Linked DNA regions of Arabidopsis thaliana. The protein of the gene in region 1 interacts with the protein of each later gene in a pairwise test. Each region holds a gene or a part of one and is shown in the gene's direction. Other genes may lie near its edges.

Evidence for each region. The genes of interacting proteins can lie anywhere in the genome.
Region 2: the proteins of COR314-TM2 (region 1) and AT5G20130 interact in a protein complementation assay, tested with the Arabidopsis thaliana proteins (one large-scale study listed by BioGRID).

The regions. Positions count from the first base shown.
Region 1 is NC_003070.9:10,285,013-10,290,347, reverse strand, and holds COR314-TM2 (cold regulated 314 thylakoid membrane 2), read left to right. Parts: upstream 1-2,443; 5' UTR 2,444-2,469; coding exon 2,470-2,612; exon of another isoform or gene 2,613-2,679; coding exon of another isoform or gene 2,680-2,693; coding exon 2,694-2,834; intron 2,835-3,079; coding exon 3,080-3,175; intron 3,176-3,301; coding exon 3,302-3,366; intron 3,367-3,619; coding exon 3,620-3,689; intron 3,690-3,773; coding exon 3,774-3,939; 3' UTR 3,940-4,281; downstream 4,282-5,335. Other genes in the region: COR413IM1 (COLD REGULATED 314 INNER MEMBRANE 1), read left to right, coding at 809-951, 1,035-1,172, 1,318-1,413, 1,542-1,606, 1,675-1,744, 1,838-2,003; AT1G29380 (Carbohydrate-binding X8 domain superfamily protein), read right to left, coding at 4,677-4,908, 4,995-5,037.
Region 2 is NC_003076.8:6,795,075-6,799,200, forward strand, and holds AT5G20130 (sulfate adenylyltransferase subunit), read left to right. Parts: upstream 1-2,286; 5' UTR 2,287-2,323; coding exon 2,324-2,581; intron 2,582-3,103; coding exon 3,104-3,325; intron 3,326-3,410; coding exon 3,411-3,626; downstream 3,627-4,126. Other genes in the region: AT5G20120 (testis- and ovary-specific PAZ domain protein), read left to right, coding at 815-1,074, 1,367-1,531, 1,614-1,665, 1,758-1,847; HBP5 (SOUL heme-binding family protein), read right to left, coding at 3,992-4,087.

The DNA.
Region 1 (5,335 bases):
TTTTCTTTCTAAGTACTAATTTTTAACCGTACATATTGGTGAAAGGCAGAGTTAACTGATGCATGCAGGACCCTGCGGAAGTGTGTTTTCGAATTGCAGGTTTTAAATGCTGCATGCAGAAGCTGTGCGAGTATTTACTCTGTTTTTTTTTTTTTTTTTTCTTTCTTCATGTTTTTTGGTTCCATGGAGTATATGTAAAAAAAAAAACCATGAATACTCGGTTTTATGTGGGTATTATGTTGTAACTCTCACAACTCTTGTTAAAGCTTTTGGCAATTTGTACAGTAAGAAAAAAAGAATTGTCTCTCAAGTCTTTTTTGTCTTATTTTTTGGACAGAAGTCTGTCTTGCAAAAAAAAAAAAAAAACAGAGGCACAACATTTGAAAAGATGAAGATATACATCTGAAACTGAAATTAGTTATGTCGGTACCAATGAAATTTTGCGTTAAGCTTTACAATTATTTTATGATAAGACTTGCAATATATATAAATAAAAAAACTAGTGAAATTATCTATGATCGACATGAAATTTTGTCATGTTCCAATGAATTAGATATGGTAAAGCTGACGTGGTATCCTAAGTGGGGTGGATTTGAATTGGAGTTGATTCCAACGGTGGAGATTCAAAGATTCTTTGATTGATAGTGAGCGACTCTCGTTTTCCAATCACGTGTAACTCGGCTCCACTCTAAAGCACGAAATCAACACGTCCACGTAACGATCATATATTCATGCAGTGATATAGTCGTTTAACAGAAAGATCACTCCGTCAATCTTTCCACCACTGTGACTAAATCTAAACAATTTCATGGCGAGTCTCTGTCTCTCATCGTCCCGGATCGTTTCTCTTCACCACCAGAAACCATTCCTCTCTCTTAAACTCCGGTCTCGTCCTTCAGATCTCTCCGGTCTAGGTCGCCACACGAGTCCTGTTTGCTTCAATCCGCTTAGGTACCGTATAGTGAAAACAATGGATTTGGGATTCTTTCGAGTCATGCATTTTGTGTAACTCTTTTTGTTTGTAATGTTTCTAGGTTATCGGGTGATCGTCAGCGAACCGCTACGGTATCAACGAGGGTGGAGAAGCGGCGAAAGAGAGGATCGAGTGTGGTCTGTTATGCTGCTCCGATTTCTGCCAATAGTCTACAATGGATCTCCACCATTTCTTGCCTGTATGATCTCTCTCATTTACTGTGATTTTCTTAACACATAATGCTGGTGAAATTATGCTAATGATGATTGTGTAATTTCCTCTGTTTTCATCATAACGTCAATAACATAAGTTAATTGCTATACTGAATGGTGTTTCATTTCTAGTGCATTGATGCTTGCAAGGGGTACTGGTATACATAAGTCAGTTGTTGTTCCACTATTCGCTCTCCACGCACCATCGAGCATCGTCGCCTGGATTAAGTAAGCTTTTAACATGGAGATATATTCATTAACATGGTGATATATATGGGTCTCTCTTCTTCTTTTTGCATGCTTGAGCAGCCTATTGAAGTCATTAAACTTAAACTTGTGTATCTTTATTTTTGTAGGGGAGAGTATGGTGTATGGGCAGCATTCTTGGCGCTTATTGCTCGACTTTTCTTCACTTTTCCAGGTTCGTAATCATCTTCAATATGTAGGTTGATTACAAGTTATTAATTAATTAAAGTTATACATTAATAGGTGAACTTGAGCTTCCATTCATCGCATTACTCTTGGTGATTGTGGCGCCATATCAAGTCATGAACATAAGGTTAGAATCTTAAAGAATGTAATGTTTTAATATATATCAAGGTTTTCTTTTCTTTAGTCGCCGAGACTCATTGACTTCATTATAAACTTGCAGAGGGAAGCAAGAAGGGGCAATCATAGCAATAGCAATATCTGGTTTTCTGGCTTTCCAACATTTCTCACGAGCAGGGAGCTTGGAGAAAGCATATGAGAAGGGTTCAGTTCTTGCCACTGTAGCCATTATTGGTGTCACAGTTGTATCGCTCCTTTTGTTGCTATAACTATATGCTCCTGACCAAAAATGTTAATCAGTGTAAGAATGTGTGTGAAGGAAAAAAAAGAAAGATGTGCTTGCATTTATCCGCTCTTTAAGAAATGCTGGTACATTTTTGGCAACTATTCGCTGGCAATAAAAATGATCTTTCATGTACAAACGTAAAAACAATACACATTTAAAATCTTTGGTCGACATGGGATTGGGATATTTAAAAGCTGACGTGGAATCCTACGTGGTTAGATTTGCAGTCGTATTGATGCCAACAACGGTGGAGATTCAAGATTCTTTGATTGATTGTGAACTAAACGACTGTCGTTTTCCAAACACGTATTTATGGGCCCCACTTTAAAAGCATTCCCGCTAAATCTACACCGTCCACGTAGCGATCATGATATTGATGCAAATGATTCAATTTTAACGGAAAGATGACGGAGTGATCTTTCCACCACCGTAACTAATCTTAACAATTCATGGCGAGTCTCTGTCTCTCATCGTCCCGGATCGTTTCTCTTCACCACCAGAAACCCTTTCTCGCTCTTAAACTCCGGCCTCGTCCTTCAAATATCTCCGGTCTAGGTCACAGTACTAGTGTTGTTTGCTTCAATCCGTTAAGGTATAGTGACACAGAAACACCCGATTCATAAATTCTCAATCAGTGGATTTTGGCTTTTTCTAAATGAATGTTGGTTGGTAGGTTATCGGCTGATCGTCAGCGAACCGCTACGGTGTCGGCGAGGGCTGAGAAGCGGCGAAAGAGAGGATCGAGTGTGGTCTGTTATGCTACTCCAATGTTGTCTGTTCATAATCTACAATGGATCTCGACAATTTCTTGCGTGTATGATCTCTCACTCTCATTAGCTGTGAATTTTAACGCAGAATGCTGCTGAAGATATGCTAATGTATGAAGTTTCTTACAAGTTTAGCTTAATCGGATAATAGCAAATGATTGTACAGGGAAATAGTTTAGCTTCAATTCATGTGTGAAAGTGATTTGTGATAGATAATTGTATAATTTCCACTGATTCATAATGTCAGCAGCATATAAGTTCATTTCTATACTGAATGTTGTTTCTTTTCTAGTGCATTGATGTTTGCAAGGGGTACTGGTATCCATAAGTCCTTTGTTGTTCCACTATTCGCACTACAAGCACCAATGGGCATTGTCTCCTGGATGAAGTAAGCTTTTTTTAATGCTCATTTACCTATGCTTGTGGATTTTATTCCTTTTTTTGCTATTCTGGATGACAGAAATTTTCATACTCTGCGTCTTGAATTCATCACACTTTTGCATCTAACTTGCAGGGGTGAATATGGCATCTGGGCAGCATTCTTGGCGCTTCTTACTCGACTGTTCTTCTCTTTTCCAGGTTCGTATTCGTCTTCAAGTAGGTTGGGTTATAGGTTGTTGAATTCTAGTGTTGGATTTTTTTTAGTTCAGTTGCCATTTACTAGAAAAGAAATTGGAATGAAACTCATGCTAATTTTCGACGTCAGGGGCTAAAATTTCCATTACTAAGACATGCTGAAAGGAATCACGCATGTTTTATCAGATCTTCATGTTAAATAAGAGTGTGCCTGCCTTTGTATGTTTTTAATTCTTATACAATGCCTTGTTTATAGTTGAACTTGAGCTGCCCTTCATTGCTTTGCTTTTGGTGATTGTGGCGCCATATCAAGTTATGAGCATAAGGTTAGATTCTCAAAAAGAGTGTAATGTTTCAGATCAAGGTTTTATTTTCTTTAGTCAAGACTCATTGAATTTATACGCTTGCAGAGGGAAACAGGAAGGTGCTATCCTTTCTTTAGCAATCTCTTGTTTTCTGGCTTTCCAGCATTTCTCAAGAGCAGGCACCTTGCAGAAAGCATTTGATCAGAATTCAGTTCTTGCCACTGTAGCCATAATTGGTGTCACAGTTGTATCGTTCCTTTTCTTGATATAAATATGCTCCTGACAAAAGGACTCATCTGTAAATCACTGTAACAAAGTGTATACAGAGACTAGAAATAATGTGCTGTATTATTTACTCGATTTCAATACTCAATTCAACGTGCTTGCATTTATCCGCTCTTTATGAGATGCTTGTATTTGCTACTATTCGTTGCTAACAGATTGATCTTTAGCCGCATATGATTCCACAAGGAACCAGATCAAAAATTTCAGCTTATAAGATTATGAGCTGAAAAGAGCATATTAAAGATATTGTCATCCTTTTAGAAACTGTTTGGAAATGCTGCAGGTATCATGGAGCTTGTCTGTCATTTTCGGTGTGCCTACTTGTTTTAGAGTGCTGCAGGTATGTATCTGCTTCAAGTAGCTTTCATTTTATTTTCTGTTATATCTTTCTAATAGTTAATAATGTCTGACATTGCTTTTGTATTTCTTAACCGTTCCCTAAGTATTTTATTTTCTAAAACTGTAAAGAGATACATTATGCTTAATGTGTCTACAAGAATGTATATATCCTAAGCCCTTTGATTTTGTAGTATCTCCTACTAAATAAATATACTTTCAGTGATAAACTATAGCAATAGAACAGATGGTGAGAATTAGGTCATGGATTAAAATCTTCTTGCAAATCACAGCTGCTTTCTTGAGCTCCATAGATCGCATCATAGTTATGGAAAACGCGCTTCATAATTTGCAGAGAATGATTGAAACCCTGAAACTATTGTCTGTTTAAAGATAATTTTCCCTGAGCAGTGGCATTAGTATCCCAACTGCTGTAAATATTGAGAGAAGGCTATGTGATACAGAGGTTGCTGAATTCGGAAGCCCTGTTGGCTCTGCTACGCCGAAGGGTGGTCCAGAGCCAGTTATGCCTGTAGTTGGAGTTGTTATTGGCGGTGGGTATGTAGATGATGGTGGGGAACTAAAATCTGGTGGACTCATTTGACTTGGGGGGCTTGTGCTGCAATTGGCAGATATTAATCACAATTATTTTTCTCACTTTTTTGACAGGTTAAGAAGTTGATTTGTGGAAAAAGAAACACATACCTGACTGTTCCTGATGATGATGAGAAGTGACAGCTTCCTTTACCTGGAGCAGTATAAGAGCAGATTTGAATACCAGTCTCAGATTTATCTTTAGCGTTGAAAGGTATAAACTCTAGTTATTATCAGATTCTTTGACCCACTGGAATCATATGGTGGGCTAGTATTACTAGGTTCAGGAACTATTTCTAGACACTCAACATCTATCAGTTGTGGAGGTCTCAAGTAGCTTATGCCGCTCATGGAGACAGCAAAGATAAAAGCTGGAAATATGGAAGCTAGTATGCGGGTAACTTAATTCTACTTTCCCGGTTCTTATGGTCAAATCTGTGTGGACTAGTACA
Region 2 (4,126 bases), on another chromosome or scaffold:
TTTCAAACAACCATAACTCTCCTTTATCGCATAACTTAAGATCATGATTTTTTTTGTTCCATTATAAACTTGACTCAAAGATATTTGATTCACTTAACTTGAAAAAGTTTGATAAAGCTAAAAACCTAATTATCCTTTCAAGTTGTGGAGAGACTAAAAACGACAAATTTCATGTGATTCTTGCTACAAAAGTGTTACCTAAACCGTAACAGAAAAATAAAGATCGCAATTTAATGGGACTACTAGTGATGTTTATCTGTTTTTAACTTTTTATCATAGAAGAAAGAAAGCAAAACGACGTCGTTTCGTTAAAATCTGCTTTGAAAACGGTTCAGTTGCCAGACTCTCTCAAAACGCTTCAGTCTCCAAGGAACCTAAAAAAGCTTCCTTTTTGGGACGAAGTTTCTTAGAGAATTTGTGATTCCGATTCTTAGGGTTTTCACCAAGCGTTCCTTCGCGACGAGCTCTCAATTTTTGAGGTTATTGATTTCTTCTTCTGATCGAATTTTCCGTATCTGCTAGTGAATTCTTCTTTCTCAGCTCAGGGTTTCTCAATTCTCCGTTCTCGATCTCTTGATACGATCGATCTTTCGAATTGAATCCATTTGTCAATTTTTCGTTGCAGTCTCGTTGGCGGCGCAATCATCATAGACTTTGGGGGATCGCTTGTAATGAGACGAATTTCAAAGTTTGGTATCTTTTACTTGCCTGAATTGACCAATTCGACTTTTATATAGAGACGTCTATTAGGGTTTTGTGTTGCTAAGGAGGTGGGATTATTGTGTACTAGAGGGTTCTTTTAGCTTCTAGGAACATGTCTGGTGGAACTCCAGTTGGTGGTGGTGGGTACATTAGGCAAAGACATAGCCAAGGTTATGCTTCTGGTGGTGATGATCTTGAGGATGATGCTTGCTCTAGGCCACAGCCTTTTTCTTTAGAGAATCCTAGAAGTAAAACCTGGGTTGAGATTTTGGAGAATGTGCTTTGGATTGCATCTGCTGTCTTCATTGTCTATTTTGGAGACAGGCACTCTAATATGATACATATTCTCTTACGTGATGCTCGGATCAAAAGGTAACATATTTCTTGATGGGCTCTTTTCACTTTGCTCTTTTTTGGATTATTGCTTGTGTTATATATGGCTAAAAAGAAAACATATGTGGCTCACTTTAAACTTGAAGATGGCCCTAGAGGTTTGAAGTCAATATTCTTGGTTATGATGGTTTATTGTCAAAAATGGTGTGGGAAAATGTAGCTTCTCTTGTCATGGTTTGGTGTAGTTTACTGAGATTTCAACATTGTTTGGGATGATGGTTCTTGCTGAAAACCAAAATAAACATAATGCATTCATTGGCCTTGTTTCCAGGATGCCTTTGTATTTCGGGATGTTGGGAATAGCTGTGAACATTATAATCATAATCTACGAAAGCATGTTATCTTGGAGCATGAGAAGGTTTGATGAGAAATGGGAACTGTGGAGTATCTCTGCTCTGCCTTTCATCACCCTACTCGGCATCATTTCATTTGGCCTGTAAGTAAATCACATTTTCTAGTCAATCAGGAACTACGCGAGTCTCATAATAGTTATGTGTGACAAAATTTGCAAAATGCAGGCTCTCCTTTGCTCTGTGGCCTATATGGGGCTTCTTGACTCTCCCCCTTCTGGTATGATCTCAGTCCATAATAAACTCGTCCTTGTAGACAATCTCATCTGGTTATGAATATATTGGTTTTTTTTTTTTTTTGATGATATGCAGTTCACATTGTTCATGGCATGCCTTGTTGTGTTCCCACATCTCATGATCATCAAATTCAGGCCTCAAAACGACGAACTCCGCATAGATTGATCTGTAGAGAATGGAGATAGTGTTATTGGGAACGTTGAAACCCTTTTGTTATTCAGAAGTCAATAAATCTGAAAGTGAAGGGGGAATTTGTTGGTTTGTGGTATATAGATAGATGAACTCATTGATCAATAGGGATCTTTTTTTCTCTTTACTGTTTTTGGTCTCTGAGATTGGTTCATGTCTTGTTTCGTTTCTGAGTTCAGTGAAGTGAAAAATATTCTCATTCAGTCTCCTTCAAACTCTAGTTTTCGACGAATTCAATCTGTAGGGTAAAACATTTGTAGTAGAGAAGGCTCATAAGCTATAAGACTACAACAAGCCTACAAAGCCACAATTTTACTAAGAGACAGGAATCTAAAGAATGCAAAGGGTAAGAGTAAAAAATTCTATGGATCAGAAAACAAATTAGTCATGCTAACCTTCATTTTATTTAAAGTTTTTTATTTTTGTCATTAAAATCCAAAAAACAAAAGCAAATGCTACCAATACAACAGACTACAAAATGTAGGAGAAATTTGGTGAAAGCATTATTGTGGTGGGATAAGGGAGAGGAAGAGAGAGCGATGGGACACGTAACGAGGCTATTGATAAACCCTTCGTCTTCCTCGCCACTTCTCCACCTCCGTTGTTGCCACCGGACTCTTGACCCTAACTCTGTCTTCTCTCTTCGAACCTCAATCACCAAAAGCAAGGGACGATTCTCTTGTCTTTTCTCCGGCGGCAACCAGAGAGAGGTTAGTTTTCTTACTTACTTCCCTTGATTCTTCGAAAGGACAAATCTTGTAGAATCTGCTGAACCCAATCAGAGCGTACATAACATGGGGTCGAATTGTCTGACTCTTTTTGAATGGTCTTACTCAATTAATTATGCTTGTTACTGATAAGGTTCTGAACAAGTTTAGCAGCTCAACTCTTAGCTATATGTCTACTGTATCTAGTCTAGGACTGGGTGTAGCAGATTAGATCCGCTGTGAGTTAGATTCGAGAGTAGGAGTTTCATAAGTTTGTGTTGATTGGCCATTTGGCTGAGAGTTTCAAGTTCCTCTTTAATCAACTCTCTCTGGTTTGGTGAATTCGTATGAGAATAGCAGTTGGTTAGCAATAACTTCATTCCAGGAAGTACAAAAACCCACACTTTCTATCTCTCTGAATGAAAAGTTTTATGACAGAGCGACAAAACTAAAGAGAGACAGATAAGAGGTAGCTTCATGATTTGGTGGCTAATACTCTGCCGTTCGATTTCCTTGATTGTGCAGGAGCAAGCTCGTAAATCATTGGAAAGCGCTCTTGGTGGGAAGAAGAATGAGTTTGAGAAGTGGGACAAAGAGATCAAGAAAAGAGAAGAATCCGGTGGCGGAAATGGTGGTAAAGGTGGAGGAGGAGGAGGTTGGTTTGGAGGTGGTGGTTGGTTTAGTGGCGACCATTTCTGGAAAGAGGCACAACAGATTGCCTTTACCCTCTTAGCAATACTTGCCGTGGTATGCTTTAAGTAAATGTATTTGGTCTTTCATGAATAAGACTTTTTGTTGTTGATGGTTTTGAATTGTTTAATGGTTGCTGCAGTATATGGTGGTTGCGAAAGGTGAAGTCATGGCTGCATTTGTGTTAAACCCGTTGTTGTATGCGTTGCGAGGAACACGGGAAGGTTTGTCTTCTCTAAGCTCCAAACTCATGGGAAGAGAAGCTTCCAAAGTGAGTGGTGACAACTCAGAGGAGATGTGGAAGAAGGAAGGTTCCACTGCTAAAGAGAGCGTTGTCCGGAAATGGGGAAGTGACTGAAACACAATTCTTAAAGCTGACTCAAGAAGAATGACTTTGGGTGTTTTTGTAACATCAAGATGAGATAATATGCAATCGACCTTTTCAGTTTTGTAATGGAGGATAGGTATTTTCTGTGAACAAGAAAGAGTGACTCTGTTTGTAACTTCCATCATCCATTTTTTTAACATCAAGAGGAGAGCAAATATGTCTCATAGATAAATGCTTGTCCACAAATAATGAGCAAGCTTAATGTTGTAGCCTGTAGGTTTGTGTCTATACAGCTTTTCTGTCGTCGCAATCTTAAAATTATAAAGTAGATGGAACCTCTACATACGTCTTATGGTAACATTTGGCCAAGCTCTAGCTAATCCAGACTGAAATCTTCAAGCCATATGATAACTTCGTTCCTCTGCAAATGCAAGACAATCACAAAGAACAGATGAGAGCCACGAATCAGACGAAAATGATAGAACCTGCGACTGAAGACAATGATCAAACCATCATTTGGGTATGTCATG